Linked DNA regions of Nothobranchius furzeri. The protein of the gene in region 1 purifies or fractionates together with the protein of each later gene. This does not show direct contact. Links are inferred from orthologs where the notes say so. Each region holds a gene or a part of one and is shown in the gene's direction. Other genes may lie near its edges.

What was found. The genes of interacting proteins can lie anywhere in the genome.
Region 2: the proteins of tyrosine-protein kinase CSK (region 1) and tensin-3 purify together in Homo sapiens (affinity purification with mass spectrometry; 4 studies listed by BioGRID and IntAct, with this or other methods). This does not show direct contact. The link is inferred for Nothobranchius furzeri from reciprocal best matches to the Homo sapiens genes CSK and TNS3.

The regions. Positions count from the first base shown.
Region 1 is NC_091744.1:58,988,452-58,992,543, reverse strand, and holds the start of tyrosine-protein kinase CSK, read left to right. Parts: upstream 1-1,240; 5' UTR 1,241-1,453; intron 1,454-4,092. UniProt on the Homo sapiens protein: Non-receptor tyrosine-protein kinase that plays an important role in the regulation of cell growth, differentiation, migration and immune response.
Region 2 is NC_091751.1:51,822,121-51,826,313, reverse strand, and holds the start of tensin-3, read left to right. Parts: upstream 1-1,367; 5' UTR 1,368-1,568; intron 1,569-4,193. UniProt on the Homo sapiens protein: May act as a protein phosphatase and/or a lipid phosphatase. Involved in the dissociation of the integrin-tensin-actin complex. EGF activates TNS4 and down-regulates TNS3 which results in capping the tail of ITGB1.

The DNA.
Region 1 (4,092 bases):
TTGATCTTTGAAGTATTAAAGGTAATGCTTCCCATTTTCTCATAATAAAAGCTGCAACAGATGATCCATTTAATTTGACATTTTTGTCTTTTGAACGGACACACAATGTGTGTGTGGACCTACACACACATTTAGATGTCCTGCGCAAAGTAGCCTTTAAGAACCAAAAAGGTTGGATCATAAAGACTTCATGGCAATCTGAAAACACTTTTTAAATTCAGAGTGTTAACTTGGCATTTACAAACTGAAAAAGGATTTAGGAAGGGTTGCTTCTACCTTGCTGCATTATGGTTTGACAGATGTAACATTTTTTCATCTTTTTTTTAAATACAAACATTTTCATTATTTCTACACAAAAGTTGAAATCAGTCTAGAAATAAAGTTTCTACTAAATTTAGGACATGAATTAATTGGGATTGTGCTCGTAGTTTAGCCAAGTTTGATGTTATGTTCCGGATGAGGCAGACGGCTTTGTTGTGGTTGCAAATCCTGGTTCAACAGCCCTAAGGATTATATATTTTTCTCACGGTTACTGTCACCCACCGTGTGCTATTCCCAACATTCCTTTAGCCTGATGTGTAATGTCACATCTGTTGAGACAGGTCTGGCCTCAACGCTTGTGAATGTGAATTAAAAGGCTGTTTTATCTTCGACCACCAGGGGGCGAAAAAGTATTTTGGTGCATCATTATTCTGCTACAATGGCAGCTGTGTTATTTGATTCCAGATAATTGTGCTTTTTTAAGTTAAAAAAAATTAACAAATGTTTAAAAAAAGACAGAAATTAACAGTGGAGTTGTTTGCGCAGGACAGTTTCTTCCAAAGGGCAAAGTTCACTGCCATCAGGCACAAGGGCACAACATATTGTCGTGCGTCATGTCTGCAGATGAAACAAATAAAAACACACTGGAAGGTTTGTCTGGACATTCTTTTGTAAGAATTGCTTCATTGATCAACTTCCTCCACAGTTTTGCCTGAAACGGATCGTTGGTCAACTTATTTTTAGACACTACAACGCGCATGCGCAGTCAATGAATTAAGGTGGGGCAAAACCAAAACTTGAAAGTTGCAGACGGGAGGAGAGGAGTCAGACCGGAGAGAACGCGAACTAGACAGAAACTTGTCTGTTTTCGTCCCATTGAGTCGCGCCTGTCTACTTTTATTATAGGAAGGTCTCCGCTCGTCCATACAGCTGGGAGGGACTATCAGCTGTAATTGTTGACAGGACCTTTGGACCATCATGAAATTTGTTTTCATGCTCCGTAGCTGAAATTTCGGAAGATCCGAGACTTGATTTCACTTCTTTATCCTCACCAGTTTCCGTTTTTAAGGCTCCTTCATCCGCTGCCGGTGTTTTAAAGCGTTAAAAGAAACCCACACACCTTTTCACAAATGAGCATGGACGCGGAGTAACCTGCTGCTGCCAGATTATTTAACTTTACCTGCAAAAACAGGTGAGGAAGGCTTTACAAAACGTCATCTGTGGGTTTATTCTGGTGTGCATTTTGATTATAGTAACTGACAGCTAGCAGAAAATAATCAGAATTCAGTTATGATTATTTTTTAAAGATTCTTAAATATAATGAATTATGTCTCAAAGATGCTCTACATGCACCCAGATTCTGACCGAGTGCTGTCGTGACCGACATGGCCTTGTTTAACATCCTCCTTCAAACTACCACTTCCTGGGGTGAAGAAGCTGCAGCATGCATGCACCTTCTCACCGATCTGTTCACACAGACAGCTCTCACCTGCACACACGTGAATTCCCCACATGCATGGTTTGTAGTTTTCAGTGGGTAACAAAGCACAAGCAAATAACTTCCTTATAGTAAACCATGAAGGTTAAAGGTGATGCCCCTTTGGCTAAAACTGAAATGTGCCCTTTAAAAAACAAACGAAGCACTCAAAGCTGATGTCTGTGTTGACTTTGTTTTGTTTTTCTAAACTAGAACTTTTTGGTCACAACCTATAAACTGCTGAAACAAAACGAGAGCTTATAAAACCGCAGCAGCAGCTTGCACTGCATGCTTTCTGCAGCAAGGAAGTGTCCGTCTGCTGCTCAGGAAGAAAATCTTTGACTTATATGGAGTTTCTTGACGTGCCTACTTGGTAAGATCAACACTACCCATCATCTGAACTCTGGAAAGCTGTAAAACACAAAGTTCACTCAGATGGCTGAGTGGGTGGCATGAAAAAGGGGATTGCCCCTCACAGAGAATGGTACATTTTTTCATTTCCCAGTGTTCTTAACTGCAGCCTTGATAAAAGTGTGTACCGGTATTTATTTATGAAAAACGTGACTATTTATGGGTATATTTTCTTTCATTTCCTTCAGGCCTGCTTTACAGAAACGGATGAGGGCAAAGTATGTGGTGAAAGCGGTACAATGACAGCTTGTACTGAGTGGAAGAGCACTAAACTCATACTTCCTCCCATAGATTTGATGTACAGTTCTGTCTTTGTGCTTCGCTTCTACATTATAGTGTATCAATTAAGTCTATTCTCCTCCACATAAAAACATCAGTGTGAACTGTTGTTACTTTTTCACACCAAGCGTCCTCTTTTCAGGTAAAAATTCTGTGGTTATTGAGGGGATTAATTCAGTCCATACTGATGTGCATAATAAAAGAGAGGCAGCTTTATTTTAGTGGGATTAATAATCTGATCCAGGTAAGCAGGTAACCTGCAGAATACTTGATGTATCAATGTTTTATAGCTCAATTTACTTAATGGCAGCAATTTTCTACACCAGAGCGCCACCAGAGTAGCCTCACAAGAATTGTAGAGCTATTGGAAACTACTTTAATGTATCATGTCTGATATTCATTTTCTTTCTCCCTTTCCTTATATTTTTTTGATCAATTTTTTTTTTGTCATTTTAAACATATTTTTAATCTTAAAATTGTATTTTATATTTTAAATATTTTGTTTTTGTGAAGCGCCTCGTGATTTTTATCTTGAGAGGCACTAGATCCTTTTCTTTCTTTCTTCTGTCATGCAATGAACTGTAAAGTTGACATTTTAATGTATTTTAAGCTGTTTTTTTAGTGATGCGCCGATATGAAATATTTGGGCAGATACTGATAGTCGATATTAATATCACTGTTACTGCTGATAACCGATATTTGCTGATACCGATATATTGACATTAATGCTTCTAATATCGTCATTTTGTATAGAATGAAAACCATTAAAGCTGAGTTTACGTTATTATGTACACACACCACACACATTTACACTTCTGTTCTGAGATGATTACAATCACTGTCACATGACTAAACAAATATGCATCACCCCCTCACCCTCTGAAACATAAACAAATGGAAATGAGATGGAAAAACATCAGTTGTTAATATCGGCCAAGTTTTATTTATCGGACCGATATGTTAAAAAATGACTAACATCTGTCAATACCGATATTGATGCTGATATAGTGGGCACCCCTACCTTTTTTTAGAACATATTTGTTGTGATACCACGTGGATATGTTGATAGGTGGAACTTTTGTGTTCTGTTTTTATTCTGTCAGGACTGCAAATGTTCATTAGCCAGTGGCTAACTCTGGTGCCATGCATGAAGTGTCAACATTTATTAAGGTTTACTTGTGTTTTAGATAATTACTGTGCACACATTATTTCCTAACAACCCAGCAGGAAAAAAGTTTTTGATAAAGAGGGAAAGAATCAAGTTAGACATTTAGACAAACCAGCAGTAAGATTTTGCTCTGCAGGTCAGTCTAGCTATGCTTCACTGAAACCTCAGCAGGTCTACCATTGGCTAAAACAATTTTAGTTCGAGCCAATCACAGCACTCTGTAGAGAGATGTTGGGTGGATTTAAAGGGTGAGTCACACCATGGGTGGAGACTTATTTCACCCACACTTTCTGTTAGAAAAATGCACTTAAAGGAGGTGTTGCCTGGTGGACAGAGAGAGCTGTAATGAGACAGTGGTTTACAGCACCCCCACCCCACGATCAGCTCACGGAGCTTCTCAATCGGAAAAACGAGTCGCTAACAAGCGTGCACACTCTCGTGCGTGCATTCAAGCCCACACACACACAGCTGACTCACTGATTAGGAGAAGAGCAAA
Region 2 (4,193 bases), on another chromosome or scaffold:
GTTATATTTAGTTGTTATTATTAATGCTGAGTACTATTCATATTGTAACACTTGTTGATTATACTCTTTGGCTTGTTTTAGCACACAGCATATATTTTTAAACTTTTACCTTAAAAGCTTTTGACTTCAGATTTAACATGAACATATAAGTGATTCTGCTTGTTCTGTTATGCTAATGTGTTCATTTATGTTAGCTTCATTCATGTTTTCTGAGATCATTTTTGTTCATCTCAAATATTTTGGTAAAATTCAGAAAATAATTACAAAGAATACTATATCCATTTAAAAAATGTATTTTTTTCCCTTTTGAATACAAATAAAGTTGTCAAAATGGATTTATGCCTTTTTTTTCTCATCCATTCCAGCTCTAAACTTTTTACACTTAATCTCACTTTGTGAATAGACTTTCTTCAGGATAATTATAATTGACATGTTAACTCTAAAACATAAAACACAATCGCCATTTAGTTTAATATTTGCAGCTCTATCTATCTTTGTTAAAAATTTGTAAAGCAGCATAATCCCTACCAGACAAAAACATGACCAACATAAGATTATTTAATGACTTGGTTTGAACAGCCACAGATGTTAGATTTTTTAGTGGAGAATTTGTCTTAAATTCGCAAAAGTCTACCTTAAAAATATAAATGTTAAGTATTTAAACAATCGAGTTACGATTTTGAGTAAAACATTTGTTTCATCTTGATTTAAAGACACGTTTGTGTTTTTATCTAATGCAACTATCTTTTTAGTTAGGTGTAGATTTTATATCTCACTTGGAGGTTTCATCTCAACAAACAAAAAGTAGTTATTTTTCTTTCATTAAAGGAAAATTAAAATGATATCAGGATCTCAGAAGAGCAGGTGAAAACATCCACTTTTAGTCACATTCACTGTTTGTGATTCAAAAATACAATTAAGTCAGAAATAAATATTTTTCCTTTATCAATATAAGATGTTTCTAAAACGTCATTAACTGCTCCATGGTTGCTTTATTTGCTCCTGAAGTTTTTTTGAGGGGTGTGCTGTTTGTGGGGGCTGGCAGGAAGTCCCCATCTGCGTGAGAAGCGAGGGTGTGTGTGTGTGTGTGTGTGTGTGTGTGTGTGTGTGTGTGTGTGTGTGTGTGTGTGTGTGTGTGTGAGAGAGAGAGAGAGAGAGAGAGAGAGAGAGAGAGGAAAGGGAGGGAACATGAGGAACAGCCTCCGCGCCGGAGTGAGGAGGAGGACTACCCCGTGCCAGAACCTGTGGTATGCGTGTGCGCAGCGCGGCGCAGCGGCAGCTCGCACTGGAGGAAATCTACTGAGAAAGACTTGGTGCGCAAGTTCAGGATTTAAAATTCATCACAGATAACCGCTGAAAGAGGCGAAGGGAGCGCCGGTTTGAGGCACAAAGTGGGTCCAGTGGAGCGCCTCAGATCACATTCCAGCAGGAGAAATGCGCCTCTCAGTCCGCACTGAGCCTGTATGACGGGCAGGGGACTCTTTGGACTTTCTCATTCTGTTTCAGCAGCTAGAAGAATCAAGAGTGGAAAAAGAACAAGGAAGACGTGTCTGGGATAACTTTAGAAGGTGAGTCACGTTGGGCGAACAATTTCAGGTAAATCATTAATTTAAATCAGGCTGTTCTTAAAGGAAACGTCTCACTTTTTTCACCTGGAGGAATGTGTAACTTTCTTATTGGCTCCTGATTTGGAAGGTTGCTCATTTATTCTATGAGCAAAACAGGTCACTGCTCTTTGTATTTACTTTGGCCCACACCAGTGGTGGGTGTGTGGGTGTGCGCGCGCAAGCTCTGCTTGTTTTCAATCAGTTCTGTGTGAGGACAGAGAATGTAGTCTTTCAAACTAACCAAGAACTGATCGTGTGTGTGTGTGTGTGTGTGTGTGTGTGTGTGTGTGTGTGTGTGTGTGTGTGTGTGTGTGTGTGCTTACTTTGGATAAGTGTTACTGAAGGCCTTTACAGTGAACTCCATGCAGCATGACTGGATCTTGTATTCTTTTTTTTTTTAACTTTTAAAGGCCCTCCTTGGAGAATTGTGTCTTTGTAGAAGCTATAATTTGGGTTTTCTTGGTGTTCTGGTGTTTTGGTGGACGATAACTTTTTATAATATGAAACACATAACCATGCTCGTGAATGACTTGCATCCAAAAATAAAAAAAGATTAAAACCTAAAATAAATGTTGGCCACACAAGGACCTTTGTTTTTTTTTCTCCCAGTCAGAAAATAATAGTCACAAAACACTATTTATTGTTACTCTTTTTTTTTTTTGGTTTGAGCTACAGCTGCTTTGCGGTATTTGTACCCTCGAGGCTTTCGCTTCTCTCAGGCAGCCATTGTTGATGACTTGTACAAGTGTGCTTACATCAGTGCAGACCCAGTCTTCCTCACCTGCATATCAGACACACACCTGCATCCACACCCTCCTGCACACCTTTCCTTTCAACCGACATAAACCACGCGGGCTGTTCTGAGCCGTTTTGCAGGCTGAATGCTTTCAAGATTTCCTCTAATTACAGACCACGAAAAACAAGAGAAACTTTTTTTTAAACTGACAATTATAGTTTTTTTGTTGCTGGTTCTTTCTGAGTCACACGAACAAATTCTTTCTCCTCGGAACAAAATAAACATGTCAGTATTTTCCTTAAGGATCCCAAGCAATAGTTGCAAATGGCGGAGGGTTGGGGTTGTGTACTGTAAACATAACACTGTGTTTGCAGCAAAGGACAGAGGACGGAGGCATTTCACTTTGTCGCAGCACTGCTGCCTTTTGGGTGACATGTGTAAGTCATTAAAGGAGCAGAGATCTAGACGAGGAAGGAGAATGAAAGCAGTTACAGGGCATGGACAGCAAGAAAGAGGGGAAAAGAGAACGGCAGAGCACAAGTAGGAACATAATCCATTTTGGAACGCATTCCACTATGACCTTGGGATAGAAAATGGTAATTAGGGAGCACTTTGGAAGCTTTCAGACTCCACAAATCTGGACAGAGTTGGTACGGTCATTTTTAGTCAAAAGATCTCATGAAAATGTGAGACAAAAATGCACTAGAGTAGAGTTTCAGTGTTGGGTAATAAACCAGCTAAAAATACCCCACACCCACTTTTCCGTCTTGTTTTCTTTTTCCCCAATAGCTCTCGTGGCTTGTTTATTTCAGCTCCTCAAGCGTGAATGGGTGTCAAAGCCGCAGCATAAACATACAGAGCCCCTGACAGGAAAAAGGCCAGAACAAACTGTGGCCTTGTCCCTCTCTGTGCTTTAAAATCAGCTCATCGTGTCGCTGTGGACATAATGAAACGCACAGCCCTGCTGAAACAGGTTTGGAATGGATAAAACAGATTTCCTGTTTACTAGATGGCTGTTAGATGTGAATGAAAACTGCAAAAATATTTTATTAGAATGAAAAAAATATTTAGGAATACAACTTGTAACCTGATGCTTTATGGCGTTTGCAGCACATAAAGTGTAACTCGGATTCACAAACAACTCAGATCATTTTTCTGTCCAGACTCCCCCAAAAAGAAAGGACTGACCTCCTTTTTCTAAACCTGCAAAGCAGATGCATCGTCTGCTTGCAGAGAAGTACCACCCAGCTGTGACTGAACCTGTGCTACAACAGAAAAAAAGAGGCTTTAAGATCATGTTGGGACACGGATGGATGGGAGTCGTTGCCCCATTCATAAAAGCGACCCACTAGATGTTTGTTTTTTAGTGTTGTAAGGGGTTGGACAACTTTCATTAATTCCATGTGCATGGAGGCACCTTATTTATCTATTTTTCCGTTGTTTTATCCTCTCATCTCATGTGATCTTTTACAGATTTGCTAAAATTTCAGTTTCCAGATTGTCTGATTGACGACAACGATGAGCTAACACCCTTAATGTCCCACCTCAGATTTCAGAACCTCCTCAAGCTTCACCTGCTTGCACCTGGTTAGAGATTCCTTGTGTCTAAAGGGAACATTTTTCTCTCCATCACCATCCCATTTGGAATGTTTGATTCAATTAAATTCTTTATGCTATTCAGCGTATCTGAAAGAAAGGCATTTGCAAGAAGTTCCAGGGAATGGTCATGCCTGTGTAAACGTGGCCGACAGCACCGACACAGCTCAGTCAAGCACTTACCTGCAGGGGCTGAAGCTGGTGGGGAGGCAGACACACCCTAATCCCCCCAACATCCTGACCTTAGCAAACCT